Lytechinus pictus: one gene and its partners. The protein of the gene in region 1 interacts with the protein of each later gene in a biochemical or structural test. Links are inferred from orthologs where the notes say so. Each region holds a gene or a part of one and is shown in the gene's direction. Other genes may lie near its edges.

Region 1 (7,780 bases):
ACTCCTGCTATTTTTACCTCTGCCAGTTTTACACCGAACCGACATATTTGCATTTTATTTGATTTATTCTATAGTATATGAAATATACCGTATATATATATATATTTAATGTTTAATGTTTAATGTCACATCAATATAATTACTTATAAAATTTGCAATGAATTTGTCTGAATTGAGTGATTGGGTCATTACATATTTGGTAGGTAGACTTTGGTTAGATAGTTTAGATAAATTAGATCCAATTCCAAAAAGATATGATTAATTGCCTTTCCAAAAGATGTGAACATGGGCCCGTAACACAAAACTTAGCAATGATCGTAGAACATTTTCTACGATTAATTCCATTGACTACAATGTACAATCAATTGTAAAAATTGAGTGTACGATTAATCGCTAACCTTTGTGTTACGGGACCCAGGATTCGAACCTCGAACAGTCGACTGCACTTCCCCACAGTCATACCTGGGATTAAGGCACATGCCACATCATAAAGTTACTAACGTTTTAAAACAAAAGAAAATAGCTTTTTCATCATTGGGACAAATATTCACAGATTTATGACATGCAAAGCGTTCCCGGATGGTTTGCACGTACAGATGCTTATCTTTATTTCCTACCTTTAACATGCACTTGTCACCCTTTTACTTGTTAGATCTTTCTCCTTTTTATCCAGATCGGTTTTTTTTGGGGGGGATGCTGGTCCTTTCTTTTAGAATGATACAAAAGTTTTAATTGGTTCGTGTGTTATGCTACAGTCACACAGATGAAACGGAATCCTGATCGATAAACGTTATTACTATTGGTCGGTTTGGAGTCGGTTTTATTGGTGTGATTGTAGCGTTAAAAAGCTCACACGACCGACATGATAATCGTTGAATCACTGCAACAACAATAATAATTACACGAGGGAGGAGAATTATAGGAGTTCATCAAGGTTTATCACTCAACGGTGTTATTCAGCAGTAAATCAGTTTTGTGGACTGTTTGTTTGTGAAGATGTTTTTCGAAAAATGGGTCAGCCGGATTCTGACGATCTAGAGAGATGGATAGGTCTGGAAAGGGAGAGTAAGAAAGAGGTTGCAGGAGAGTGCCCTGGGAAAGATTTTTTTGGCTGGGGGTGCTGAAGTAAGCCTAAATTCAGGGGCGGATCCAGCTTTTGCCAATAGGGGGAGGCATTAGCGTACCTAAGGGGGGGGGGCGGCAGACTGCCCCCCTGACGAGTCACAACACTTGCAAGGAACGTATCCCTGCCCCCCTGATGAGTTAGTCCCTGACTGGTGCTAAATAAATGTCCTTTACTTGTGGTTGAAGACCTTTTTTTTTTGCTTGTCAATTTTTTTTCTGGTGCGAAATGTCCTTTACTTGCGGGTGAAGACTTTTTTTTTTTGCTTGTCAAATTTTTTGGCGGACGAATTTGCCCCCCCCCCCTTTGGAAAATCCTAGGTACGCCACTGGGGGAGGGCTAAAAAAATCACCCATATTTTCCTCGATCTGCCGCTCAAAATCGACTTTTGTTTGTTTCTTTGAAGTGGTATTCGTAACAGTCACTTCTTATAAAACAATTTGTTTTGGGGAAATTTAATGTATTTTGTCCTGAAAATTGAACATTCTTGGAAATTTTTGTAATCCCGAACAAGATGCGTATGTAACTGATCGAAAAAATGACCTGTTAAGGACTGTTTGTAGTTAGCCATAAAGACAATACATATTTCAACTGTGAAATAAAGCGAGTGCGAAGCGCGAGCTGAAAATCTTTGACATTTCGACCTAAAAAATGAACATTCTAAGCAGTTTTTGTAATCATGAACAGGATAGGTATATAACTAAACAATGCGAGCGGAAAAAGTTTAGACCTTCAAACGGGTCACTCTATTCATGATGTTTTGTAAATCATGAAAAGGATGGGTAATTGGGTATCATACACTAATAATGTGAGCAGAAGTTTTTTGATAAGGTCTATTCTAACATGAAACTGGATAATTCAAGCATGTTTTAAATAAAGAACAAGCTGCGTATCTCAATAAACATGCGTGCGTGTGTTTAAGATTTATACCTAGTATCTGGGCATTCTAAATATATTTTTTATCATCAAAATCAATAATGCGAGCGCGAAGCGCGAAGCGCGAGCTGAAAATATTTGATATTCCGATCTGAAAATGGTCTTTAAGCACTAATTCAAGCACAGTAAGAAAACTGTGAAGTGGATAATTATGGATCGCACTAAATAAATGATGCGAGCGCTGAGCGTAAGCTATATTTTCATTATCATTTTGACCTAGGACCGGAACATTCTGAGGACATATTGTCATCATATGAAAATGATGACTGTCTTCCCTTTTCTCTACCTTAGCGCAAGATATTCCATTCTGAAAGAAGGACAATTTGATTATTAGGAATTCATGAAATTTTTTATTTTGTTTATTAATCTAATAAGCCTAATGACAGCTCGATATTTGTTGATATTAAGGCCTAAAAACTGGACATTTCAAGCACTTTTTAATTATGAATAGGGTGCATGTAGAGCAGGGGCGTCGATCCATTTTTCAGATTGGGGTGGCAAAATCATGACTCAACTTTTCAAAGGCGCTCGATCACACAAAACAAACAAACTCACCTACACACAAACACACACACATAGGCATGTATATATATATACATATATATATATATATATGTTTATATATATATATATACATACATATATATGACTCGTGAGAAAGAGACACATATCTCACCAACAAATTAATGCGAGCGCGAAGCGCGAGCTGAATTTTTTTAGTATACTGAACTGAAAACAGGAAAAAGGTACCCGTTTAGGATTGTTTGTAGTAAATCATGAGGAGGATCTTACTACACAGATAATGCGCGTGCCGAGAGCGAGCTGAATTTTTTTTTATATTCTGACCTGAAAGCTTGATATTCTAAGCATTTTGGTACGATTAAGATTGGTGTCTCAAATAACAATAGATACGAGCGCGAAACGCAAGCTGAAAAATTTGATATTTCGATCTGAAAAAATTGACAGTTTAATGGACGTTTTTGATAAAAAAAACAAGATATATATACCCAACAAAAGATTATTGCAAATCGAAGCGGGGGTTCTTTTGAGGTTTAGAACTGAAAACGGGACATTCTGTTCACCTATTTAATCATGAAAAGTATGGGTTTTTGCTACAGAAATGATGCGAGCGCGAAGCGCGAGCTGAAAAGCAGACATTTTGAGCACGATTTTAAATAAGGAACGAGTTGTGTATTTCAATCTTGCTTGCTGATTTCTGTGTAACATTACACTCTTATTTTATTTTTGCACATGAGGAATTATTGGGGGGGGGGGGCAAAACAATATATGTTTGCCCCCCAATATTTTCATTGGTGGGGCGATCGCCCCCCTACCCCCCCCCCCCCCAGGATCGACGCCTCTGAAGTAGAGTTATACATTACTTACCAATCAAAATGTGAGCGCGCAACGCTGGCTGATAGGTTTTGACAATCAAACCTGAAAATATATTTTTGAGAACTTTATGGAAAACACGAAGAGATAAGGTACTTTACAAATCAAATAATGCAAGCGCTGCGCGTGAGCTCAAAATGTTGATACATATGGTAGATACTGAAAATCAAACAAAATAATGAAAGCTCAATGTCGGAGCTGAAATACTTCAAAACTTGATATTTTAAGCTCCATATCAGCCTATCAGCAAGAATGTTATTATTTCATCAAACATCATGCAGTGCGATCGAGAGATCGAAAATTTTATAGTGCCTGATTATTTTATATTTATGTTGTTTTATAATAAAGAAGTGGACTGCACCTGCAAAAAAAAATCAATTTCGAGCGGCTGATCGGAAAATATTGGGTGAAAATAATTTCGGGCCTAATCCCCTACTGGCGCGAAAACTGGATCTGCCCCTGTGGTTGTCGCCATCCCAGCCCCCCCCCCCCCTCATTAAAAAGCAATGTCCCCCCAGGAAAAAAAAAGCTAGCTACGCCACTGTATATTATGGGCCACGCATCGGGATAAATATTCTAGACAGGGCCCTGATCGGCCCTGAACCCTTCGGGCCGCAGCGACGTACACCCCTTCTCGATCTATTTTTGTTTTATTTTTAAAACAATTAGTGCACACCGAGTTACCAATATTGCATATACGGTAGCATTTCCATTTATTTGAAAGCAGGATAAAAGAGCATTGTATATTAAATGCCTTGCTCACGGGCATAGGTGCCGCGGCCGGGGATCGAACCCCGGACTTTCCATGTACAGCCAGGCTCCTTAGACCACTCGGCCACGGCCACGGCACCTCCCTTCTCGATCTACAATGTATGGCCGCGGCGCCCGATCCGATCCGGATCCGACATCCATTCGGCAATTGCGTAACGGAGACTTGGATTAACTTTTGATGAAACTCAGAGGACAGCCTTCGGCTTCGTCACATTATTCCTATCATTTATCGGTAAGCAATCCGTAGCTTTTTTTTAACGTGGATTAACAATTTCGAGGTTTTTGACGTCGACTTTTTTGTCTGACCGACCTGGCTTGATCATGTTGATCATTGATGCAAGACGGATTTTTGCGTATTATGGCGTAGCCGTAGAATCTTCAATCTAGGCCTATCTATGTAGCTGCACTATTGTCCCACACGAATATATCGGTGTCTGTAATGTAAGTTAGTTGTGTGAGTGGTATGGTGATGTGAGTGTGACCTAATTCGCGCGTAACCTAATTTTGCGCACGGTCAAATATCTCATTATCTAATTAGTATCTTGAAAAACTGATATCACCAACAGAAAGAGCGACCCAAAATTACTTAGTATGGTAATTTTTTTTAAGGTAAGGTCTCAAATTGTGAAAATATTGGCAAAACATCAGCAAATTTTGTTTATTGTTACCTTTTGCGTCCGTTCCGAGAAAATCTGATATTCTCGACAAGCATCAAGAAATCGCCAGTTTGCAAGCAGAGGTCTCCAAATAAGTAAGTAAAATGTGATACCAACCGAATTTATGGCATTTTAACCTCCATCTGATATAATTTAATTATCTTATCTTTGTCTGCTTTATTTCTTTTCTAAAGCTTTGCAAAACGATCGTGTGCAAATTAAGGTCACACCTTTTTATGACACTTTTCAGCCGAGCGCGCACTAGTCGATCGCCATGGAATTTTGAGAACACTATATGAGCGAAACCATGGACTTACATTATAATTCCGTCAAGTGAATTTGACTTTGGGATCATGCCTTCCATTTGGTATTTGGATTTGGATTAATTTTGTGTGACAGTGTGAGAAATTTTTGATTGAAAATCAAATGATAATTGTTAAAATGTGCGCAAATTATGGTCACCCCATCATACCTGGTAGTGGTATGTAGGTAGCCTAGGGCCTGGAGGCTTCTGGAGAGTAAAAAAGTATCAACTGTACGTAGGCTACCTCGAGCGAAGTTCGTGCAGGCTCCACTTCACTACCGCTACACTACGGTCTACGCTTCACCTACCCGAACTTCGAGACCGTGAACTCGATCTGATATTCCGAGTGACAAAGGTGGGATTTTATGGGGGGAAATATAAAATTCATGCAACATCACGATCTTTAAAAACAAATAAAACTAATATTCGTACTTTACACAAAGTTTCACTTCTTTTCCATGCTTCTATCAGTCTCAAAATTGGTGATTTAGAGCCAACATGAAGTTCCTCACACGTATAAATAATTTGCTGCCGATTTCAAAACCTGAACTTTTTAGAATCAAAATCTATTATTTTGAATGGATTTTTATATAATTTTAGAAAAAAAAATTGCCATATCCCCTTTCATTTTCTTTCTATTCTTCATTTTCTTGTTTGTGGAGCTTTTTTTTTTTGGGGGGGGGCGGACCTCAAAATCCTCCATCTATACACCAGTGATGAATAGTAATTCATTGTACTTTCCTCCACAGTAAGAAACTCATCTGTCAACATGGCAATGAGAGATCTTGTTGACGGGGAATGTGGTACGGCCAACCCCTTGATGCGTTTAACGTCTCACTTCACCCAAGACAAGTCTCTGCATCAGGAGGGTCTCCAGCATCTCCCAGGGCCAGGTGGGTTTGTGCAGGAGGCAAGACCCTTCCTTGAAGCTCCTGACCAAGAGGTAAGTGGCTATTCACACCTGGGTCCCAGGGGGAAAAAATACACAGGCAGGGGGTGATTTTGCCCTGAAATGCTCAAAAAGCACCCTGGAAATTCCCCATTTATTGCAATGTTAAAGCTTATTAGCCAATGTTACAGATTTAGGGGATAAGTTGTGAAAAGTAGCCCCAGAAAATAAAGATTTAATTATTTTGCTGGCACTGGATCATGTTCCATAAATACTTTTTGTAATAATGAAAACTAATATCAGCCAATCAAATTGAATGATTTTGGTTGTTCCGAAATTTATAACAACTTTATGAAACGGCCGTGGACTTAAAAAGCAGTGCATGCTGATGTATTTATACAGTACAATACCATTATCTACATGTATTTTATGTCAACCTTCCTAGGTATTAAAATTGATAGGTATAAGTTGTATTTTTTAATTTTGAGTGCACACATGTGCATTGAAATGGTTTTGCAAATTGTATTTCTAAAAATTATTTCATAGCCCTCACCTGTTTTACATGTACATCCACTGTGGATGAACTTTGTCTAACCTTTCCTCTATTTTGCATAAGGGCTTTAAAGAAGTGTGAAAAAAGGAGAGAGAAAAAAACATCGACTACAACCCCCCCCCCCCCCCTCCAGAAAACCAATGCTAATGGTCCTTCTGTCAAACACTAATTCTAATATAAAATCTTCATATTTGATGTTCAGTTGGTCAATGAGTTCCTGTCTGATCAGCATCGCCATGCCGGTCCACCTCAGACGTTCCGTATGGATGCCCTTCTTCAAGAAATGCAGGAGATTGAAGGCTTGCATCACCGCCAAGCCCTAGCCCAAGGTATGAATGGGTGACCTGATAGTTGATCATGCAAGACTTTTCTTGTCTGAATGATCCATTTTGTTGATACATGTAGTTCTAATCTGGGCATAAGGTTCATTTGAACAATGAATTGAAAATTAAGAAAATATGTCCTGTCTGAATGAATCATGTCATATACCCTTTTTACACACGCTAAAATTTCCTTAACCCCGTACTATAGGTGGGGCTAAATTGCCATTTAGCCCCACCTATAGTACGGGGTTAAGCTTAGCCCACTTTCTTTTTACACAGCATTTTTGCAAAGTGGGCTAACCCCACCTTTAGTACGGGATTATTTGGCCCTGCAAAAAAGCAGGGTTATCCCAGCAATTGCGGTGCTAAGAGCGATAGTACGGGGTTAAGATCGCTAGTGTAAAACGAAAGTGGGCTAAGCTTAACCCCGTACTATAGGTGGGGCTAAATGGCAATTTGGCCCCACCTATAGTACGGGGTTAAGGAAATTGTAGCGTGTGTAAAATGGTACGAGTGAAGTACTTGTACTACGAATGATCGACAAAAACCACTAGTCCGGGGTTAGCGAGTTTCGTGTGTGAAAAGCAAGCATTCCTTATCCGGGGTTAGCAATAACAATTTGGCATGTGTAAAAAGGAAAAAAAATAGTACGGGGTTAAGGATAGTACGGGGTTAGCGATAGTCCGGGGTTAAGAAAATCCTGTGTAAAAAGGGTAATAGATATAATCTGAGTATGTGCAGATCAGGGTTACATTTATTTAACAATAACTTGAAAATAAGAAAACTTGTCCTGTCTGAATGGCCAGTTCATAGATGACATCTGAGCATGTGGA
Region 2 (7,923 bases), on another chromosome or scaffold:
TCAGCCACTATAATAGACAACATTTTCAGTAATACAACTCAACAACATCATAAAGCTGGTATTATTCTTAATGGCATCTCTGATCACTTTCCAAATTTTGCTAAATTATCTACGAATAAAAGTGTCAATAAAGAAACATTTAATCCTGCATTTCGAAAGATAACTGACGACAACATAACCAATTTGACTAATAATTTAGACACAACAGACTGGTCTACTGTATATGACTCCTCGGACGCCGACGACGCATACAACTGTTTTATTACCATACTTACCTCTTCTCTAGATACCCATGTTCCCCTTACAACTAACAGAAGATCAAATCATAAAAAGATCCCTATCCACCCTTGGATTACTAAATCACTCTTAAGATCCATCAAGCGCAAGAACAACCTATATTATAAATACATAACTAAACCAAGTGATACATCTCGCTTCAAGTCGCTACAAGTACACTTCATATAAAAACACTCTTACATCTTTACTTCGTATTGCGAAAAAAGAATATTACACTTCTCAACTCGATCTAAACAAAAATGATATGAAGAACACATGGAAAATCATCAATGGTGCGTTAAACAAAAAGAAGAAGAGTTCTACAATTACAAAAATACAATCAAACAATACCATCACTGATGACAACAACATAATAGCAAGAGAGTTTAATCCATATTTTTCACAAGTTGGCAACAATTTAGCAAGCAAAATCCCTCAAACGAATAAATCTTACAACAATTTTCTCGAAAACCCTAACCCAAACTCCATATTTTTTAATCCCACAAGCTCAAGAGAAATTATAAATATTGTTAATAGTCTGCTGACCAAAAAGTGCCCGAGGTTTGACGGTATTTCCAACTTCCTACTTGAGAAAATTATCTTGGTTATCGTCGATCCTTTGGTGCATATTTTTAATATTTCTTTGAATACAGGAAGGGTACCAATCTTATGAAAATCGCAAAAGTAGTCCCTCTTTTTAAAAAAGGAGATAATCAGCTCGTCTCCAATTACCGTCCCATATCATTGCTCACCTCGTTATCAAAAATTCTTGAAAAACTTGTCCATACACGAACTAGTACCAGGCACGTAGCCAGGGGGGGCGGTGGGGGCGGTCGCCCCCCCCCCCCCCAAACGCCCCCAAAAAGAAAAAAAACAGGGGAAAAGGGAGAAAAAGAAAAAGCGAAGGGAAGAAGGGCATAGCTTTATTGGTTTTTTCTTTCTTTTTTGTCAAACATGTCAAAAATATAAAAACCTAAATGTGATGTTCGTTTCTCTCTTCATACAAAATTTTGCTTCCGCGCTCCGCGCGGGAAAAATATCAGAATTGCCTTTCCCCTTTGTTTCCCACACCTTTTTTCTACTCCGTTTTTCCCCTTCCCCGGCCATGGGACTCGCATTCTTGCCAGAAATTATAAAGTATACATGGATAGTATGAAAAGTATTTTTTTAAGACACAAAATTTCGGCTCTTCTGTTCAGAGCGGGTAAACTTTTATACCGTCCCTCCCCGAGTCCCCAAATGCTATATCAAAATTAGAGCAGGTTAAAGTTTCAGAGAAATTTATACAATTCAGAACTTGCCATTCGCGGGAAGAGATCCCTGCATGTATTAGCTTTCTACAGTCTGTTTTGCGAGTTAAAGAAATTTAATGTGGCTAAAGTTTTTACAATCAAATCTGATGTGACTAAGGTTGGTATTTTATATCACTTTTGTTCTCATTAAAAAAAAAATAAAACGTCTTAGCTTTCGCGCTTAGCGCGGTAGAGGAATTATTTTGAATTCCTAAATCTTTTCCCATTTTGTAGGCGCTCATCTTTTCTTTTGAAAACAAGTTTTGTTTTTAATCACAGCAAGTCAATTGAATTTGTGTTGATAAGGGTATTAGGGACGCAGGAGACATCTTATTTTGATTGAAATTTGATGAGATATCTAAAACTTCGCGCTCCGCACGGGAGGGGGAAAAAGGGGGAAACTCCCCCTCCCTGCACCCTCCCCCCTAGGGAGCGCGCTTCGCGCGCTCTGTAAGTGTTGGCACGCTTCGCGTGCACTTACCGCCCCCTCCAAAATTAAATCCTGGCTACGCAGTTGACTAGTACGTTCTTTAAAAGAAGCAATATCTTTTCGGACTTTCAATTTGGGTTTCGCGAAAATCACAGCACCTCGCATGCAATTTTATTTTTCGTTAACAAAATCACTATTTCCACTGATAAAGGTTGTCATACTGTCGGTATTTTCCTGGACTTCTCCAAAGCCTTCGACACCATTAACCACGGAATTCTCTTGCATAAACTATCTCATTACGGTATTAGGGGGATGGCCTTGGAGTGGTTCAGGAGCTATACCTTACAGATAGGACTCAGTTTGTATCAATAAATAACCATAATTCATCCAACCTTCCAATTACTTGCGGGGTACCACAGGGTAGCTTACTCGGCCCTCTTCTTTTTATCACTTACATAAATGACATCCACAAAACTTCAAATTTACTTTCATTCATACTCTTTGCTGATGATTCCAACATTTTCTTTTCTCATGATAACATAAACCAACTTATTAGGATTGTTAACTCTGAACTCATGCATGTGACTGAATGGATCAAGGCAAATAAACTCTCCCTTAACTTACAAAAGACCAATTATATGTTATTTAGTAATAGAATAAACAGTTTGCCCGACAATATCATTTTTGATAACACTGTCCTTGAAAATGTTTCTGAAACAAAAATTTTGGGTGTACTTATTGATAATAAATTATCATGGAAACCACACATCGACAATATATGCAAAACAATTTAAAGAAATATTGGAATTATCAACAAGCTCAAATTTTTTCTTCCATCTCGTACACTACTTACACTATATCACACCTTAATATTACCATACATCAATTACTGTATTTTGGCATGGGGTTGTGCAATTCAAACGCAATTACATAGGATACTTTTGTTACAGAAAAAGCACTTAAGATAATAATTCATACACATTTCAGATTTCACACAGATGAATTATTTTTTGAAAACAAAATCCTTAAAGTTAATGATATATATCTGTTCCAACTCGGCCAATTTATGTACAAACTAAATAAAGATGATCTCCCAGCAATTTTTTCAATTATGTTCTGCAAAAACTCTTCTGTACACGATTATCCTACAAGACAACGAAACTTTTATCACCTACCTCCAACCCGAACTTTACTTGCAAAAAATTCTTTTGTCTTTTCTGGTCCCGTATATTGGAATTTCTTGCCCAACGACTTCAAGGAATCCCCAAGCATCACTATTTTTAAACATAATTTAACATTTAACATAACCTTAAAAAGATGCTTATTTGCCAATACTTTACACAAACAAGTCAATCTACCATATAACTAAAACTACAACAAAAACTACAAAAAAAAACTTCTTTTTTAACCTCCTTTAAACTTGCCTGCCGACCTGTTCCCGCACCTGCCATGCCCCTGTTTGCACCTCCAATTGTACCTGCACCCCTCCTCTCTCCCTACATTTGCCTCTCTGTTTCTCCCTCATTATCACAATTATTGTAACCATATTTTTTTTTCTATTTTTTTTTTAATTATTACTATTATCATTTATTCCAATTTGTGTCACTCTTTCGTTGTTACCTTTGATATTTTGTATAGCCTCCTTTTAAACTGTCTTCCGTCTCTCCTTTATACTATAGTTTTGTAATGTTGTCTCTAAGTTACGTATTGAAACTAAGTTATACAGGGGCTTGCCTCCCAAACAAGCTTTGCTTTTCTTGGCAAGCCCCTCCGTTCTGTTTTATACATGTATAGCCTTAGTCAAAGTTACTTTAGTTCTCATTAGTTCTCATCGTTTATACCTTCTAATTCTTACGTATATTCCGATTGATATTGTACTTTAAATTTGACTATGTATTGTTACTTTGATTTTGTTGTGCTTTGTGAACGGAAAATGAATAAAATCTAAATCTAAATCTAAAATCAAATAAGGGCCCAGGGTGAACCATTATGCCGCGAGCTAATAAAGCAGTGTCTTGAAATAAATATGGTTCAAGTGTGTCTTGTTTTTTACGTGCAATAAATTGTGCCAGATAGCGTACCTACGGGGGGGGGGGGGCAGAGGGGGCAGTCTGCCCCACCCTGACGAGCCACAACCCATGCAAAGGACGTATCCCTGCCCCCCCCCCCCCCCCCCTTGACGAGCTTGAAGACCCTTTTTTTTTTTTTTTTGGCTTGTCAATTTTTTTTCTGGTTACGAAATCCTTCATTTGTGATTGAAGACCTTTCTTTTTTTTTTTTTTGCTTGTCAATTTTTTTGGCGGACGGTTCCCCCCCCCCCCCTGTGAAAAATCCCAGGTACGCCACTGTGCCAGATAATCAATATATAGTTGACCTCGAGCAGGCCATATATGGATTCGCATTTCGCTCGTATATACAGAATATATAACCAATTTATCTCCCGGGTTTAATCTCACTCGATCTCTCACCACCACTACCGCACCGCACTGCAGTGCAGTGCTGATATATACTGTACTGTTTTGCTTTGACCTCATTCATTGCGAGTACACATGTACAGTGAGTGCTAGTGTCAACTGCTACCTACTGATGGAGGCGTTATTGCAAATTGTATTTTAATACGTTTAATAGGTCTACTAGTGTTCAGCATGGCAGCGGAAAAGGGTAGAACGAAGAGAGTGGTCGTTGTCGGCGCTGGCGTTATAGGGCTTTCGTCGGCTGTCAATATCATTGAAACTATCCCAAATGTTGAGGTTACATTGATAGCAGAACATTTTGAGGAGCATATGGCATCAAGCGTATCTGGTGGCTTGTGGAATCCCCGGGAAGTCCCCCTCAACGGCACACCCATGCATGTTCTTCGGTATGTTCTCAAAGTCAAACTTAATATTGTAGCATAAATACTAGTAGTAGTAGTACTACTACTAGAGTATTCATTCCTAAACTAAATAAAGCAATAATAAGATGGTGTTTACATCGTCTTATGAGCTTAAAAAATGCCACTTTCCTCATTCTCCCCCTCAAGCACCTACATGTATCTTGGACATAGGCGGTGGAAGCGGGGGGGGGGGGGGGGGGACATGTCCCCCTCAACTTTTTGTTGATAACCTTTTTTTTTTTTTTTGCTTTTTCCAGCGTCCCCCCTACATAAGATAACCTTTTTTTTTTTTTTGCTTGTCAAAAAATTTTGGTGGTCCCCCCTAAAATTTTTGGCTTCCACCGCCAATGATCTCGGATCCCCTTATGGGCCCTTTTGCTCCCCTCTCCCCAATTCCCCTCCTCCCCTCCCCCTCTTCTTCCTCTTCTTCCTCCACTCTCCTCATCCACCATTGACATTATTATGGACCTTATACTTTAGGCCAAAGCAGTGAGTTTAGGGTAGCTTGGGGGCTCAGTGCCCTCTGAAATAAATTGATTTAATTGCTTGTCTGAATTTATTTTTACGGGAAAGTGCTTCTGGAAACAGCTGTGACATTTTTAAAATGTTTTATGCTTGTGAAACTAATTGTCATTTTCTCCCTGATCCTGTCAAAGTTTCACAGTTCCACAAGTTCAAGTATGTATTTACATCTATTTTGCATTCACTTTATCTATCATACATGTATATTAATGGTAATTTGAGTTTAAACAAAGGTTTTGTTTTCAAAGAATATGATATGTGATCACGTTTTTCCAAAGAGTTCTATTGCAATACAATATATCCAATAAATCTCTTATTCCTGGACTTGTGCAGAGTGATCTAAATGAAGATGACATAATGATTTATTCATGCTTTCCAGGAAATGGGGCAAGGAAACTTGGGATCATAGCATTCCTTTGGCATTGAGTTCGGAAGCATCCAAAATTGGAATAGAGTTCATCCCCGGTTACCGTTTGTATCCAGAGATGATCAAAGAAGAAGTAAGTCTTCATGTTTCGGAAATTTTTTTTTTTTCACTGAAAAGAGGTGAAAGAAATATAATTTGATAAATGTTTTACACAAACTTTTGGTCAGACATGAATTAGCAGAGCTTTAAGACTAAATAGTTATTCAATATTGATACATACCAAGATATTTATAATGGAAAATTTCACATCTCAGAAGTCTAATACCATAAATCATTAAGAAGATCTTTTGGTAGGATGAGTTCTCAGTGGATGTTTTGAACCACACTTTTGGGGCAATATTATGCATGGTGTACGGGGAACTTCCATTATTATTATTATTTTAGATTTTTAGATTTTAGACGACTCCTTCTAAGACGGGCTCCAGATCTATGGGCAGTGTGTGTGGGTCTGGTAGGAGTTGGCAGACCAAAAGGTGTTGCTTCATCTGGTCCTCCCCATGTTATAAGCTACTGAAATCCTGGTATCTAATTGGCTGAGAATAAATAAGTCAGTGAAAACCAGTCACTTAAAAAAAAAAATTATGAAATAGTACCTTGATGATTTTTATTTTATGTTATGTGCACATCATTATTCTGGTGTGTTGTGTCTTGTTGAATTTATTATTTGAATACAGGAGGAGCCATGGTGGAAGGATGATGTTATAGGATACAGAAGAGTTCCTCAAAAAGAAATCAAACAACTCTTTGCTTCGACATTCAAGTAAGTTCTTGGGCCCGTATTCGGAACTTGGGTGTCATTTCAACTCTGGTCTAAAGTTGTGGTTAACTATATGGATAGCCAATAAATTGTCATTGCGTCAAAAATCTCAGTATGAATTCAATTTGACCGCACATTTGGTGCTCAATCCCGGGCTCAATCCATTCAAAACTGTTTGGGAGTGATAATTAAGATAGTTTACCCTGCCATTTAAGCCTGGGGAAAAGGACACAATTCAGCTTATAAATGATGTTCATCAAATTTAATTGTAATGTAATTTCTGGTATATAGCTCAGAAATTTAGCTTGCTTTGACAAAATCTATTCCACCACTGACATTGATAACTGGTGTTATAACGGCATTTTTACATTACAAATTTTAATTGTGCCTCTCAAAAGGGGGGGGGGGCACTGGCTGGCTTTGCCAACCCCCCCCCCCCCCTCCCCTGGATCTGCCAGTGCCTAGAAACTTTTCAAAGACTTGTTTGTTTTCCCCTTTAGATTATAGGCCTAATGTTTTCAATGTTATCTATATCTAGGGACAGTGATTTTCAATTTTACCGGTAAATAAAACAGAAATTCTGTTTGGTTCTTACACTTTTCATGTAAAAATTCATGGAATTCACCTTTGCAAAAATGGAATTCAGGTTTTTGCTGTGTACATTTTCAGTGACAAAACAGAATTTCAATTTTTAGATCAAGTCGAAACAGAATTACAGATTTCAGAAACTGAAGACAACCATTTTTTGAAATGGAAAATCACTGTCTCTAAATTATTGCACCTAACATATACATTTATGTCACCTTAACTATCTTCTTGTGCTAACTTCTCAGTTCTTATGAATTATTTTCATGGAACATATTGATTATAAATTTGTAATTTCATTTTCAAAGTGAGTTGAAAATTTCTGTTGAAAATATATCATACCTTGCTGTCAATTATGAAAATCCATATTTTAATGTTCGAAAAAGAAATGGAAATCCTTCGAAAATATGTTTTGCCCAATTAATTGTGGGCCCCAGCCGGCAGCCACTGTGCAGCGCCAGATTGACGTAGCTCTATCCCTTGTATTGTTGAACGCCAAACAGGGTAGTAGCAACTCCCATCTTTTAACGTCTTTCGGTCTGACGCGGCCGGGGTTTGAACTCCCGGTTGTGAGACGGACACTCTACCAACTAAGCCACCACACTAAGTGAAACTGCTCATTAATGCATATGAACCTTTCAGTAATCTATTTCTTTTGTTTTTGTCATTGACAGGGATGGATATTTCTACATGACAATGATAACCAATTGCCCGATCTATCTCCCTTATCTCATGAAACGGTAATTTACAACTCTTCAT
Region 3 (7,451 bases), on another chromosome or scaffold:
TGAACGGGTAAGTGGAAATACATAATAGGAGGATTGATATATCAGGTGATGGATAGAGAGTGAAAGGTGGACTGATGAACAGATAGAAGGATACAAACTTGTATTAATTGAATGATAAAGAGACTGAGACAAATGGCTTGATTAGAAAATAAATAAATGAATGAAATAAATCTAAATAATAAAGGCATGATTAAAAACATAAATATTATTTGTGAATTGGAAATCATGCTGTTTCACTGGAAATGTTAAACCCAGTACTCTGATAAAAACATGATGCACCATGTTATTTTAAGCACCTGATATTGAGCCAGTAACGGGAAGTTTGTTGGATTTTAGTCCTGAACATTCAGAGCCTGATGATATCCCTTTTAATAGCTCCTCGTCTTCAAGATCTTTCTCTGATTTCTCGTGCAGCACAGGATTAATTGCTCCCGACTTAAATGTCTTGATCAGCTCCAGAGCATCCTCTTTAGAAATATTTATCTCTGAAAAGGTGTTAGGTTAAAGAAAAAAACTATGACAATTACATCTACACAATATAATACTAGAAGAAAAAAAAGAGAATTATTAAGTTGATACTTGACTTTGAGAATGATATAAAACCACAAAAATATGCCATTAAGAATCAATTTTATTGACAAAGACAAGATTTGTAATTGTCACTGACCACATTCTACATTAACTTAATTTATACTAAATCCAAAAATGTTGGAATTATCCTGCTTTAAGTCACCAGTTCATTTACTGATGTCAAATTTTGTCTTCTCTCTTCTGAGTTGTGTGCACTAATTACTTTTTGTAGCTTACAAAATCTATCTGAAAGAGTACAAAGCTGTCACCTGCAATGATAAATACACAGCAGCGAGTACAATGGTAAAAAAAAAAAAAACAATGATGTGCGTTCGGTACTTGTCTCTCGTACTGTATACTGACAGGGATATATCAAAAACCTAATTGAAATTTAAATATGCATCCTATCATCAGAGTCAGGGTTGGGCTCAATTACAATTACAATTAGGTAATTGAAGAAATGTTAAATTACAATTACTTTTCAATTAAATTAATTTTTTTTTCAATTACAATTACTTTTGTCAATTACAATTTCAATTACTTTCATGAAATCAATTTATATTTTGTATGTAGTGTCATCCATTTCAACTTAATTCTATGTTTGAGAGAAACTGACAAAATGAATGATTATTAGCTTAGAGAGCATTGATCCTGCCTATCACTCCCTTCAATGCTAAAGTCAACTGACATTCTCAATAATATGCAGATCTGCATGCTTTAGTTTCATTTGTAGAAATCATGATGTACAACATGAATGTAAACTTGAATTGAGAGTTGTGACCTCGTTCATCAAGGGCTGATCCAGCTTTCAACTATAGGGGGCAGGAAAAATATTTTCATCCACTAAAAACTCACTTTTTGAGGAGGTATTCCCAACTTAATTCTAAAGATTTTAGTAAACATCTTACGTTTTCTTACTAACAAAATCAGGCCACTACATGAGTTTATACGAAATGTAATTTTGCTAGTATAAAAAATTACATAGTTTGATTCCGTGTTAGAACCTATTTTGTTTTGCAAATTTGTCCCAAATATTTCAGATGTTCAATTTGTGCACTTGTTATAGCAATGTATCCTCTTTCCTCTGGCTCCACATCATGGGAACAGTGGCGTAGCTACGGGGGGGCATGGGGGGGCACGTGCCCCCCCTGAGATTTGGTGTGCCCCCCCAGGTGCCCCCCCTGAAAAAAATTGGCAGAGCAAAAAAAAAGGGAGAAAGGAGAAAAGAAAAAAAAGAAGAAAGACAGAAGAGGAAAATAAGAGGAGGAAGACGAGTGAATGAAATAATGTGAGGGGAAGACTTGCAAAAAAAAAATCTTTCATGTTACCATATAAAATGTTTGCTTGCGCTTCGCGCCAGAATTGCCTGTTCGATGAGATTCATATCTTGCTCAATAGGCTGATATGGAGCAAGTTTTGAAGTCTATGTACAAAACATATTTTAGCTCGGACATCGAGCTTTCATATTTTTGTTTTCATTTACAAATTTAAGTGCTCTGTAAAATGTCCGTTTTTATGGTCTACATATCAGCATTTTAAGCTCACGCTGCGTGGTCACATTGTTTGATTTGCCAAGTTCATATTGTCTAGGTGTATTCCATAATGTTCCATAAAACAAATGTATTCAGAATGCTCAGATTCTAGGTCTAAATCTAAAACATGCGCGATAGCCTGCATGTTCTTTATTTAGAATGTACTTAAATTATCCAGTTTCACATCAGAATATCAATAATTGTCTGCTCACGCTTCATGATCGCATTATTAATGATACCCAATTAACTATATCCTATTTATGATTTACAAAATATGACTAGAGTGTCCCGCTTTTAGGTCTGAGATCTCAATTTTCTACCTCTCGCGCTTCGCGCTCGCATCAATTGTTTAGTTACATACCTATCCCATTTATTAATACAAAAAGTGCTTAGAATGACCATTTTTAGGTCGGAATTTTCACGCTCGCATTATTGAAATATATACCGTCTTCGTGGGTAACTGTAAGCAGTCCTTAACAGGTCCCTTTTCGATAATGCTAGAACAGTTAATAAAAATTTCTGCTCGCGCTTGGCGTTCGCAGTAACCATCTAGTTACATACGAATCTTGTTCAGGATCACACATAACATTGCCCAGAATATTAAATTTTCAGGACAAAATACATGAAAGTAAAAAAAAATCGCTCGCGCTTCGCGCTCGCACTTTTTATAAGGCTTATGAGATTATTTCATGTTAATGTTGTTTTATAAGAATAAAACTAAGAAGTGACTGATCGGGAAAATATAGGTGAAGATAATTTCGGGCACCGTCCCCTATTGGCGAAAGTCGGATCCGCCTTTGTGACACATACACACACACCTAAAAAATGGTGCCCCTCCTGAAAAAGCAAGGACCCCCCAGTGCCCCCCCAGGAAAAAAATCCTAGCTACGCCACTGCATGGGAAAGGATATATTTGCATGCAAGAGATTAAAGGTCAAGTCCACCCCAGCAAAATATTGATTTGAATAAGTAGAGAAAAAAACTAGCATAACACTAAAAATTTCACCACAATCGGATGTAAAATAAGAAAGTTATGGCAACTTAAAGTTTCGCATATTTTTCACAAAACAGTGTCATGCAAATGAGTCAGTTGATGATGTCCATCACTCACTATTTCTTTTATTTCATTTTTTACAGATTTGACCATATAAAGACCGACTTGACTGAACCATATACATGTAGCATTAAACTGCAAAGCTAATTCCACATGTTCAGGGAGGAATTAATCACTGTTTCATTTGACAATAGAAAATTAGAATATTTCATATCTCATATAATAAAATACAAAAGAAATAGTGAGTGGATGACATCATCAGTCTCCTCATTTGCATACCGACCAGGATGTGCATATATAACTGTTTTGTGAAATTAAGAGAACCTTTAAAATGTCAGAACTTTCTTATTTTACATCCGATTTTGATGAAATTTTCAGTGTTATGCTTGTTGGATTTTTCTTTCTTTATTCAAATCCAGTAATTGAAGTCAATTACAATTTTTCAATTACAATTACTTTCCCTTTAAAAATTTCAATTACAAATTGCAATTACTCAAAAAATATAATCAATTACATAATTGATCAATAGAGCCTAACCCTGAAAATTCAGAGCTCTGGTCTGGTGTACTACTACTAGAACTTAGAAGATATCTGCTTTTTATGGCCTAATTTGTAAGAAAACTAAGATTCGTCATGAGCACTAAGTTAGGAGCGGAGCAACTGTGCAAGAAATTTTGCACTTTTACTTTTTTAGAATGCAAAATTAGGTAAATTTTAGCACTTAGAAGGCATTATAATATTGGCATTAGGATGAAGAAAAATAAAACTAAAAAAGAAAAAAAAATTCTTGAAAAGTGGGAGAATGTATTATTAATGTTACTCTACGTGTTCGGGCTGCCGCAGTAACTCCACCCCCCCCCCCCTGAAACTGAAGGATATACAGTATCCCCTCCCAAAATCTTTACGGCCCACCCCCCCCCCCCCCACGAAGCCGGGCCACGATTTATGCCAGCAGTGATTCACACAAATTTATAAACTACTAGTAAGTTACAAATATTCGGAGTCAGACTCAGATGGCCGATATGGATGCTGGCATATGATATGGCTTCTAAGTTCTAGGGAGAAACCAACTAACATAATTGTAAATATATGGGACTACAAACGAAACTTTTGCTGGATAAAAACAGGATATGTCGCTGCTTGCTTACCCTTGCTGAGTTCTGATGGTTTCAGCTCCAAGATATCAGAAGTAGAACTAAATCCCGCATTGTTCAGCTTCAGTCTGAAGGATGGAGGTATAGGAAAGCTATTTATGTCACGCTGCATCGTGAGGTAAATTGTAAAAACAGGATATCAAATTGAATTCCCCGCGCATGTTTCCAATGTCGGCAGTCGCGTGATGATCGCGCCGGGCTGATGGCCGGGCGGCGCGGCCGGTCGGTCGATCGGGCTGCTGTCCGTCCGTACGTGGCTAAGTCTAAGCCTCTGTGGGGTCTTCTTATAACATTAACAGTAACATCCAAACGCATCAATATTCAGAAGATAAAGAAGACTAAGGCGCGCCGGGGCCCTGCCCCTGGGCCTGGTATACTGCCTGGTTGCATGCTGCTGAAGCTTGAACTTGGCCTAGAATGAATGGAGCCGAGCATGTTAATGTTTGGACCTCATTGGACTTGGTCTGACTTGGTACTAACGTTAGGAGTGGAGCCGAGTCTGAGGTAGACCCATATAAAAAGGTCTATTTCTTTCTGGGATGTGCTCTGCTGAGCTGAGACTTCATCAGGCTCCACTCCGTCAAAAAAAAATCAGAAAATTTTGTTAAAAATAAAAAACTCCTCCGCAACAGGGCAGGGGACATATTCAGTACGGTATCAATCATCAGTCTAAAATTAAAAAACGTTAAACTTAAAGTTAATCGCACTAACGTTGTAGCAACGCATTAGGTGTGAGTGAAGCTGAGGCGATGACGGTCGACATTAAGTAATTCTGGATTAGGCCTTTAAATAAGATAAAAGTAAAAACTAAAAAAATACTCAAAAAAAAAAGAAAGAATTTACACGAATTAAATTATTGAGGTTATCTTTGGTAATGATTTCCGCTTGATCTCGAATTTCGGCTTCTCTCATAGGCCTACATACAATATGTCAGTTTTGCTTTGTGAAATAAATATGATAAGCAGTTCGATAAGGGGAACTTTGGATAATTCAAATTTATGGGCAACTAAATTAAAAATAAGGTCTATGAATGAAATAGTGCAGATACTAACTATTGTTTAATCAAGTACAATTTTATTGATCTAATTCCTAGATTTGATCCCTAACAGAGTCTAGTATGCTTTGAATTTGGATCAGTTTGAAGGTAGCAAGCACTTTTGTGTAGATCTACAAATAACTTATGTCCCTAAAACCAAGGATAAACAATAAAACTTACATTCAGTTGTTGGATGGGTGGGCCGTAACGTAAGTAATTGGAGTGTTTAAACATATATTTTTAAATTTCTTCTCCTTCACAGCCCAGACGCGGTAGACGGCTAGCTACGTACTCGTACACAGTGTGAGGGACATTAGTCCCCATTGCCCCCCCCCTCAAGCCTTAAGGGGATTTCTAATTTTTCTACATCTAACATTAAAGTAGATCGAACTTAACTTCCATTGATAGTGGATATCTTGCATGTCCATGTCTCGCTCAGCTGAGAAATACCAGCAAAAGGGATGCAACTCTGTCTTTGCTGTATAGTCATGGTAGCTTGTGTAGTAGATCTAGTAACAGGTAGTCCCGAGTTAACGTTAGATATGTATTTGTGATATGGACGAGTTCAGAACTAAGCAATTTGTGCATGTATATACATTTTGCTGCACGTTTGGATGAATTTCAATACCATGTACTTGAAAAACTTAGATTATGACGAGATTGCACACTGGAATTCAGTGGTAAAAGGTTGTTTAATAACACTAAATAATGATAGCTGACAGGTATTTTTATAACTTTTTCCAAACAAAATGATATTATATTTCTTATTAGTAGTCTATTTTTTCTCCAGATTATTATTGACCTTTTTTCTAAGTTCGATCTACTGTACTTGACTATTTACAACTTGAAGAATTTCACTCATCGTTCCATGGCTTGTTTTGCTCAATAGTGAGCAAATGTCTAATTTCAGCAGTCAATCTGTTTTAGAAATCGATCTTTTTTATTGTTAAAGGAAACTTTGGCTACCTGGAGAAGAAACTGAGATACTGCTATTCTGCAATCTGATGTGTGCAAATTCTAAATCACAATGGCAGAGTTCGGAGCTCATCTTACTTCAGCAACCACTGACAATCGACCATCATTCTTTGAGGTTCTTGCCCAAGAGAGCCTAATGGTTACTTTGAGACCTGCTCTGTCCTACTTCTTAAAGGTAAGTCAAAGGGTACTCTTCATGAAAACATCATTTTAAAGAATTCAACAGCATCCTAGAATATTGTTCTACTACTGCACAATATTGTTGGCTCTCAAAGAACCTAGACTTTGGAGACATTGCATAGAACTTCTAGAAGAATTTTTTTCTTTTTTTAAATCAATCATTAGTCTTATTTACAAATTTGCAATTGAGGGATTGAATTGGCGTGGCGTCCGTCGTCTGTTGTCCGTCCACAATTTCCAAATTCTGCTTCTTCATTTAAAGTCCGATCTCAATTCTGATTGCTTTATTATGATAGCACTAGGTGGGGATTCAAAACTTTTACACAGAATTTTGAAACTCATTAAATATGCTAATTCATGCACATTTTTCAAAATTCACAAAAAATGCTGTTCCTTCTTTATTTATTGACCGATTTTGAGTTTTTTGCTTCCTTCTGGTAGATCTTCATGAGGTTCACAAAACTTCTACACAAAATTTGGCTAGAAAAAATTTTATGCTAATTTATGCAAAATTAATTTATGCATATTTTTAAAAATTCACATAAAATGCTTCTTCGTCTTTATTTGATGACCAACTTCGATTTTTTTTTTCATCCATCTGGTAGAGCTACATGAGGGTTACCAAACTTCCACACAGAATTTTGAAATTTTGACTAGAAAATTATTTATGCTAATTTATGCAACATTTATTCATAAATCACAAAAAATGCCCTTTCTCCTTCATTTGTTGATCAATTTTAATTTTGTTTCCTTTATATGATAGCTCTAGGTGGGGATACAAAATTTCTACACAGAATTTTTAAATTAATTAAATATGCTAATTTATGCATATTTTTCAAAACTCACAAAAAATGCTGCTTATTTAGTTGTTGACTGATTTTTTTGTTCCATCTGAGAGCTACATGAGGTTCACCAAGGTTCTACACAGATTCTAGAAATTTTGACTAGAT
Region 4 (7,894 bases), on another chromosome or scaffold:
GTATGAAATTATTCCATTTCTTTTAATATGGGGGGGGGGGGGGGTGCTCGTGAATTGATCGACAAGATTTCAGAGCCAGGGGCCCGATTCATAAAGGACTTGGAACTGTTGTAACTTTGCCATTATGGCAACCACCATGGAAACCTTGATTATGATTGGCTGCTGAGCCCTAGTTACCATGGTAGTTGCCATTATGGGATTTGGGGTGGCACGCTAGGGTCGGACAGGGTTAGGGAGGGGAAGGGAATTAAAGAAATATAGATAGGGAGAGAAAGAGAGTGAGAAACAGGTAGAAAGTAAGAATTAAGGGAGGGGGGATGCAAGCAGAGGAAAGACAGAGAGGGAGAGAGAAAGAGGGGGGGGGGGTCTAGAGCTAGCGGTAGCAGCTAGCTAGAGGGCCATTCTCCGAAAAGGGGCACCAAAGGACATTTTCGTGTCTCCAACTTTCTCTAGGCTATAAACCATAATTTAATTCATCAGGAAACCAATTTTTTGAATTTTATTTATACTACAGAATATGTTGAGTAGAATTAAAATCAACCGAGGTCACCCCACCTCATGAAAAAATTATATACGACAGCACAAAACATATATGTGCTCATTTTACCCATGTCTCCAGCGACCTGTGTGATTATATTTCATACTCCCGCTCTTTACCGTAATATCCGAACTTCATGTTTTGTCCACTAATTTATAATGCCTTCGGTGCCTAAATAAAAAAGCATATTGCTTAGCGAAAAAACTTTTGTATATTTTTTCCTGCGGTCTTAGCGAAGGTGTCTCCAAATCGGGATAAGATACGTTACTTTTTGTATGATACCCTAAAAAGAACGAAGACAATAATGCAGTGATCTGTATTTCGGTGTAGTGAATAAGTCCATTTCAAGGCTATATAAATACAAATAGTGTATACTGAATCTCTATAATAATGAATATATTCAGACACAAAGTTTTCAATTGTGTATGTTACCATAAGGTAAAATAAGATACGTTACTGAAACTTTGCTCTATTACAGAAAAATAACTTGGTTAACAAAGTTATAATGTATTTTGTTTTAGAGCACTCTACATTGCTTATGGTAATACATGGGAGTTATGAAAGAAAAGGTTGTTATTTTGTGAAAACACAAGGTTGATCCTAAAGGCCGTCAAATACGTTACCGTCAAATACGTTACCGCATTGCGCGTTGATAGGCCCATTCGCGCATTCTCTAATTTTGCACATGCTTTTAGCGCTTCTTCACCCTTCAAAGCATTGAGCGTTACGTGCTGAGAGTCTGAGGGAGATGTAAGGCTTCTCGCCGTTTGTTATTCATCCCAGCTACGTGGTTGGTAAGAATTTTCATTTTTTGAATATTGACAGAATATAGTTCATTTATCTGTTTGAGTACTATGATACATTTGAGAGTTATTTGAAGTTGATGGAACAGTTACATATAGGCTTAAGACATCTAACACGTATGCATGCGATTGTTTAGTGTGTGTGATAGCTCGCATGAACATTAGAATGTTACCAGATAGGCACGGTAACGTATCTTACCCGACTGGTAACGTATCTTATTAGATATTAATGTCATGTTTTTACGTACACGACGACTAACTATTTTATATTTATTTGTTATTAATTATAAAATAATGTACATATAAAAATCCCATGCTGATATTTTTCCTCTCTGTCTGTCTCTCGTTTATTTCAGAGAAAAAAAAGACATGGGTAAAACGCGTGCTGAGATCCGGAAAGTCAGAGAGAAAATCTGAGTTAACCATCGAACAGTTGACACTAATCGAAGATTTGGCCAAAAAATATAAAGAAGCACAAATTAAGTAAAAGGATCAATATTAGAATTTGCAGGTGACAAATATTTGGACAGCATTACTTGTATTTATGCACTTTCCATATCCTCCCATTTTTCGAACAATTTACAAAGAAAAGGAATCCTTTCCCTGTGATGCAAGAATGATGAAAATGGCATATTTTAATAAAAAAGGAAAATAATGACGTTATTAATTTTTTTTCGGAAAACATTTCTTTTTTTATGAGCAAGTTAATGATGTAATTCCCTTACAATTTTCTTCACATTTAATTTACAGAAATCCTTTAAAAAATCCATTTATCAAATATGATACAGTAAAGTTTTCCTATTCAACTAACCCCAAATTAAAACAAAATGAATGAGAGATGCTATTTGTTCTTAAATATTTGTTCTGACATATCTTAAAGGGGTATGGTTGCCTCAATGCTGGCAAAAACAATCCAAAATGTCATTTAAACGTGACAAATTATGAGGGGATGACATTAACAACTTGCTCATTAGAATATGTTTTCTGAAAATGTGAAATTTTGAAATATAATATTTTCCTTACTTGCTGTCGGTTGTTATCCGGTTTGTATTATCCTTCTTAAATCATGCTAATCATTTTTTTACCCGGCTTTTTGCTTTAATACGTGCCACATCATGTACAAGCGGCAACATAATGTTAATTGTCAACTGATATGTGGAAGGAGAATATTTCGATTCCGTAGTCTAGTTGTTTTGTCTTGGCTCTCTGAATGTACAAAAATATGAAAAAGTAGAATCCGTCAATATAGTGTAAGCTTTAATGTACCGAAATATTTGAGTGGATGATGAATCAGATGTGCTACAAAGACATTTTAATTACTTGAGAGTTGTGTCTGCTACGTTACCACCACTATCTACCGTATAGCTCCTTGGCTCTCTTTAAATTTTAAAAACAAATTTTATGACAGAACATGTGGAAACACATTAATTTATACAAATCTTTTTATAACTATTCAGCGTGATTAATTGTTAAGAATGAGATCTTTTATACAATTTAAGAAGGTTCTTTTTTTAGGAGCAGAGCCGAAACACCAAGTATAGCCCAAGTGAAATAACATTGTACTTATAAGTTTAAATTATCAACAGTCAAATACGTTACCCTACGTTGCAGTTATATATTCGTCTAAACACTCGGATGTAATCAAATTTATCATGTTTTTCCAAACTGCATGATGTTACATATTTCATTAAAAGTTAACAAAGCTACATAATAGACTGTACACATTAGAAATCAAAAGCTTTGGTCATATATTTGAAACAGTATTATAATTATGTCTTAGGTTAATTTTGTCTGTGTTTGTTTATCGATGCATAATTTTATTTACTGAACTATGTCAAGGTGATCATCATAAATAATCATTATGTTCGAGGTGGATATAACATTTTGATGTAAGACAAAATGCAAGAGTGAGTTTACGCATGTTACTATTATAAGTCACAGTAACAACATTTTGTAGTATAGATGTCTGTAAGATACGTTACCATATTGACATATTACAGTTATATATTTGCCTTGCACTCGCAGGTAATAAATTTGATGATATTGTTCCATCTTAATAGTGTTAGATATCTTATCAATGAGTTTATAGAAGGAAATGGACTAAGTACGTTGTGCACTTTAAATCAAAAGTTTAGCTCATACATTTCAAACAGAACATAATTATGTAATTGCGTCACAGTAACAATATTTTGTAGTATAGATGTCTGTAAGATACGTTACCATATTGACATATTACAGTTATATATTTGCATGCACGTATATATGCTATAGATGAATACATGACTTTGCATTACTGAGTAGTGTTTTTTAATCGGGATTATAAATCTGAATGTTCGTAGTTGATAATTCGTTTGGATGTAAAATATATTGCACGATTGAGTTTATCGTTATCTTGAGATATAAACCACAGTAAACGAAATTTTGTGGAAGTATGTCAGATACGTTACCAATTTTCTCTTTTCTTGTAATTCAGAATGTATAAAATCTGTAGTAAAGTGTGCTTACAATGAAATTTCTTTAATAATTTCAGTATTTATGTATGATTTTTATTAATGTTTCAAAGCAATATAAGATCAAATTGTATTAGAGATATGAATTGCAATTTAGGTAATGTATTTTATCTGAAAATATACTATTTTTTTCGGGCTGATTTTGACTTACAGACTTATAACATTTATCATTTTGATACATCTCGACCAATCAAATGTCAAGAATTACTTTTTAATCATGTGTGTATATTAGTTACGTTTACTTTGAAATATTTACTGATACTATTGGTCCACAAATGATACATCCACAGCGATTTTTCTTGTCTAAGGCCTAATGGTAACGTATCTGACGGGTGGTAAAAACTATGTAAAAAGGTGTTCAAGTTCAATGCTATTTCTTGAAAAATATGTTGGGGTCAAAAATCACCCGTTTGTTGTTATGTGTTCTCGAAGTATTAAAGTTTCTGAATTCAAATGAGTTTAATTAATTTTCGTATGTCAAAATTTGAAAGTTTGTCCAATCCTATTGGTGCACTTTTGTGGAGAATGTACCTAGAGGGGGGGGGGGGGGGGAGATCGAGAGCTAGATATATAAGATCGAGGCCATGACCCGTCGCGTCATGACGTAATACAAATTCTAACTAGCAGATTTTAATAGCAGATTTAGCAATGGCCGCTCCGCCGAAACCATGGGAGAAAAGAGGCTCAATAAATCCTTCTTTAGGATATCCAGCCGACCAAGCAATGCTGTAAGTGGTTCTTTATTTTATTTCACTTTTATAGTATTAATAACAAAGTCTATTTCATGGTCGTTATTGGTCAGAGATGGATTTATGTGGCACCGAAGTGAATTCTCGCTGCAAAGCTCTGTGTAGTCCGATGCGTAGTGATTCATGTATCGAGTGATCAAGGAGTCCTTGACTTGAGTCTGACTCCGCCCATATTAGCCAGGCGGCTTCTTGAGAGTAAAAATAATTTATTAACGTACTACGTAGGCTTACTCTAAACGAAGCCAGGGAGTCCTACCTATTCATCTGCGTGTACCGCAAAAAACCCTGAAACTTTCGCCCCCGAGATTTCTACTTTCCTTCTATTTTGTTCTAAAAGTAAACTAAAACTAAAACTAAAAAAAGATCTAGCTCTGCCTTAACCCAGAGAGCTCCCGCCCACGCAGCGGGCGGGAGCCCAGAAGCTCACCGTGTATTTTACCATTTTCACCGGACTAGGGTGATTTATGGTCTAAATATTTCTCCAAATGAATTGTGAAAACGGAAAGTATACAATTACCACGATTATATGGATGAAGGTCTAACGAGTGGCAGATTCCTGACATCTGGGCACAGTCTGGAACCTCAAAAAAACGAAAAGTTCTCTCCTTCTACCCAGTCTCGATCGGCCATTTTGTTACGATTTTTAACGAAAATGGCCGATCGAGACGGGGTAGAAGGAGAGAACTTTTCGTTTTTTTGGGGTTCCAGACTGTGCCCAGATGTCAGGAATCTGCCACTCGTTAGACCTTCATCCATATAATCGTGGTAATTGTATACTTTCTGTTTTCACAATTCATTTGGAGAAATATTTAGACCATAAATCACCCTAGTCCGGTGACAATGGTAAAATACACGGTAAGCTTCTGGGCTCCCGCCCGCTGTGCGGGCGGGAGCTCTCTGGGTTAGCTCTGCCTCTGAGTCTGATGTACATGGGATAAAACTTCATTTCCGACATTTATACGCTCTCGTTATTTTTAAACAAGAATTCATCAAAAAAATGAGAAAATATTGTGAAAAGACAGAAGAGACTTGCCCGATGTTTACGCCGCCATCTTGTTTCTTATTGTAATTCCCCAACGTTACGGACGCGAGCGTCGCGTCCGTGGATTAAAGTGATCATTTCACTTTGTTCTGATTTAAAAAATTCTCATTTTGGTTCTTGAAAATGGGCTTAACATTAGGCTTATAGTGTAAAAATACCATCCCAAAAGTTTCAAAGTCATGAAAGTATTATATCCACAGGATCAATTTTAAAACCTTAAAGATGTAAACCAAAGTTTGAAAATAATTGGGAGTTGGTTTCAATAACTATGACATGTGTATACAGTGAACCTGTGCACCACAACACACGAACTCTAGATGAACACAGCATGGCCTACATACAGTGTGTACTAGGTATACACTGAATGTTCAGTGCAGCTAATAGCGTGTGTGTGTAAATAGGAGATACACACAACAGAAGGCAGTCAAAATAGCCAACGGACTTTTTGAATTGGAGTAAACTGGTCATAAGCTTAACCTGTCTACTAGACGGTTCTCAAAATCAAGCTAATAAATTGCTACTTGTATCTAAATTAGAGTTTTTCATTCTATATTGTGGTTTGTTTCAGGGTTTTTGGGGACAAATACATGCACTCATACACATGTTTTGTCTCAGTTTGAGAATTTTGTAAATCAGCTGCTCACAAAGTTAAACAATCCCTTTAACCGCACCCCCAACTTTGGACTAAAAAAAAAAAAAAAAAAAAACTAAGTTAAAGATTTCAAAGTATCCAAAGAGATTACCGGTATGCGGAAATCTGCTGTTCTTGATCAATTCATCTACAAATGTTTGCAAGAAAGAAAGGTCCCGACAATATTGGCCACTTACACACTCACTCACCTCACAGTCACAGTGTACACACACACAGCACTGCTGTTCTTGTACATTGCAAACTACGATACGGTACCAGTACATCTTATCAAATAATGATCTGTGTCTTTCCCGCCGTAGGAGGAAGAAATATTCACATTTCTTGCATCACAAACTCACAATCACTTTCAGAATTTGTCTAGCATTCGATGTCTTAGCATGAATTTTGGATACGGGATTACTGGAAGGAAGGTTCAAGAACAAAGAAATTGGCATTTTTTACAGTTGTTTTGACGGCTTCGTGCCGTCTCTCTCGTTGCGTGGTGTACATGCTATCTTATGAAAAGCAAACGGGAAAGAAAAAATAAGCTGGCGCGAAACAGGACTTTAGAGGGGATCGAGGGTTAAAATGAATAGCGCCAGCTTAAGTCGCACTATTACCACAATACAACGCAAGCTAGCTCAGCTAACTCAACTCTCGCGCTCGCTCAGCTGTGACAAAATATTACCGAGTATGCTTGGCTTCTCTTTGAACTTAGCCAGGGAACTTCGCTGCTTTGAACCGAGAATAAAAGTCGAAATGAGTGTTATGAAGGTGGGTGCGTTTAATAATCGCTTCTTATTACCCGTGGCTCATACCCCTCTATCCCGCCGAGAAAAACGTACGGTTAATAGACCGTTACTTACGGTATGTATTGGTGAGTGAGCCAACGCAGTTCAGCGGAACAACCATAATACAGAGACTGAAGCTTTTGGTCTAATTACGAGCATGCATGATTCATTGACCCGTACGTATTCTGAACTCTGGTTTAAATTAAACCCTAGTTTAAAGTTGTATTCTGAACCCGGGTTTAAATTAAACCCTGGTTTAAAGTTGTGGTGTAACTATGGAGAGCTAGTACTAGTTGCAGCACAAATCCCTAACAATTACAATACACATCCAATTTATTAACTCACTCATAATGACATCCATATTGTTCATAATTGTCTGGAAATGATAACTGAACTCTGAAGAGGAGTGAAGTATTTCAAAGTATTATTATGAAAGCAAAGCCAAAAGGAAACAAAATAGTAAATCATGTAATTGTAAGTCGTAAGCAATAGATCTATACATGAACATATTTTTGGCTCCCCGTAATTTCAGCACAGAGTTAGACCGCGGTCTAAGCATTAGGAGAAGATTGCCTATGATTTTGAGTGATTTTCGATTCTCGTGTGTGTTCTCATGGAATTTTTTGCTGTCTACGATACCCTGGCCCTGCCACTCATTTAATGAACAAGGTTATGATATAACATTGTTCTCAGTTACATCCACTCATTCAATGAACAAGGTTATGATATAATGGTTACATCTCCATGTGTGGCAAAATAAGGGTGGCAATTTTGGCTTATTTTCTCTTTTTCTATGGGACAAATGCTTGATTTTCTTACACTGTCAGTTT

What was found.
Region 2: the proteins of peroxisomal targeting signal 1 receptor-like (region 1) and D-aspartate oxidase-like form a complex in vitro, tested with the Homo sapiens proteins (2 studies listed by BioGRID, with this or other methods). The link is inferred for Lytechinus pictus from reciprocal best matches to the Homo sapiens genes PEX5 and DDO.
Region 3: the proteins of peroxisomal targeting signal 1 receptor-like (region 1) and peroxisome assembly protein 12-A-like form a complex in vitro, tested with the Homo sapiens proteins (2 studies listed by BioGRID). The link is inferred for Lytechinus pictus from reciprocal best matches to the Homo sapiens genes PEX5 and PEX12.
Region 4: the proteins of peroxisomal targeting signal 1 receptor-like (region 1) and peroxisomal membrane protein PEX13-like form a complex in vitro, tested with the Homo sapiens proteins (3 studies listed by BioGRID). The link is inferred for Lytechinus pictus from reciprocal best matches to the Homo sapiens genes PEX5 and PEX13.

Annotation. Positions count from the first base shown.
Region 1 is NC_087258.1:5,595,130-5,602,909, reverse strand, and holds the start of peroxisomal targeting signal 1 receptor-like, read left to right. Parts: upstream 1-4,361; 5' UTR 4,362-4,454; intron 4,455-4,670; exon of another isoform or gene 4,671-4,973; intron 4,974-5,931; 5' UTR 5,932-5,951; coding exon 5,952-6,125; intron 6,126-6,826; coding exon 6,827-6,953; intron 6,954-7,780.
Region 2 is NC_087251.1:43,917,669-43,925,591, reverse strand, and holds the start of D-aspartate oxidase-like, read left to right. Parts: upstream 1-4,452; 5' UTR 4,453-4,643; coding exon 4,644-4,858; intron 4,859-5,774; coding exon 5,775-5,895; intron 5,896-6,496; coding exon 6,497-6,582; intron 6,583-7,838; coding exon 7,839-7,904; intron 7,905-7,923. UniProt on the Homo sapiens protein: Selectively catalyzes the oxidative deamination of acidic amino acids. Suppresses the level of D-aspartate in the brain, an amino acid that can act as an agonist for glutamate receptors. Protects the organism from the toxicity of D-amino acids.
Region 3 is NC_087246.1:9,741,157-9,748,607, forward strand, and holds the start of peroxisome assembly protein 12-A-like, read left to right. Parts: upstream 1-4,077; 5' UTR 4,078-4,304; coding exon of another isoform or gene 4,305-4,422; 5' UTR 4,423-4,428; exon of another isoform or gene 4,429-4,832; intron 4,833-6,298; 5' UTR 6,299-6,373; coding exon 6,374-6,496; intron 6,497-7,451. Other genes in the region: DNA repair protein RAD51 homolog 3-like, read right to left, coding at 297-485, 4,305-4,422. UniProt on the Homo sapiens protein: Component of a retrotranslocation channel required for peroxisome organization by mediating export of the PEX5 receptor from peroxisomes to the cytosol, thereby promoting PEX5 recycling.
Region 4 is NC_087261.1:4,569,419-4,577,312, forward strand, and holds the start of peroxisomal membrane protein PEX13-like, read left to right. Parts: upstream 1-4,404; 5' UTR 4,405-4,499; coding exon 4,500-4,579; intron 4,580-7,894. UniProt on the Homo sapiens protein: Component of the PEX13-PEX14 docking complex, a translocon channel that specifically mediates the import of peroxisomal cargo proteins bound to PEX5 receptor.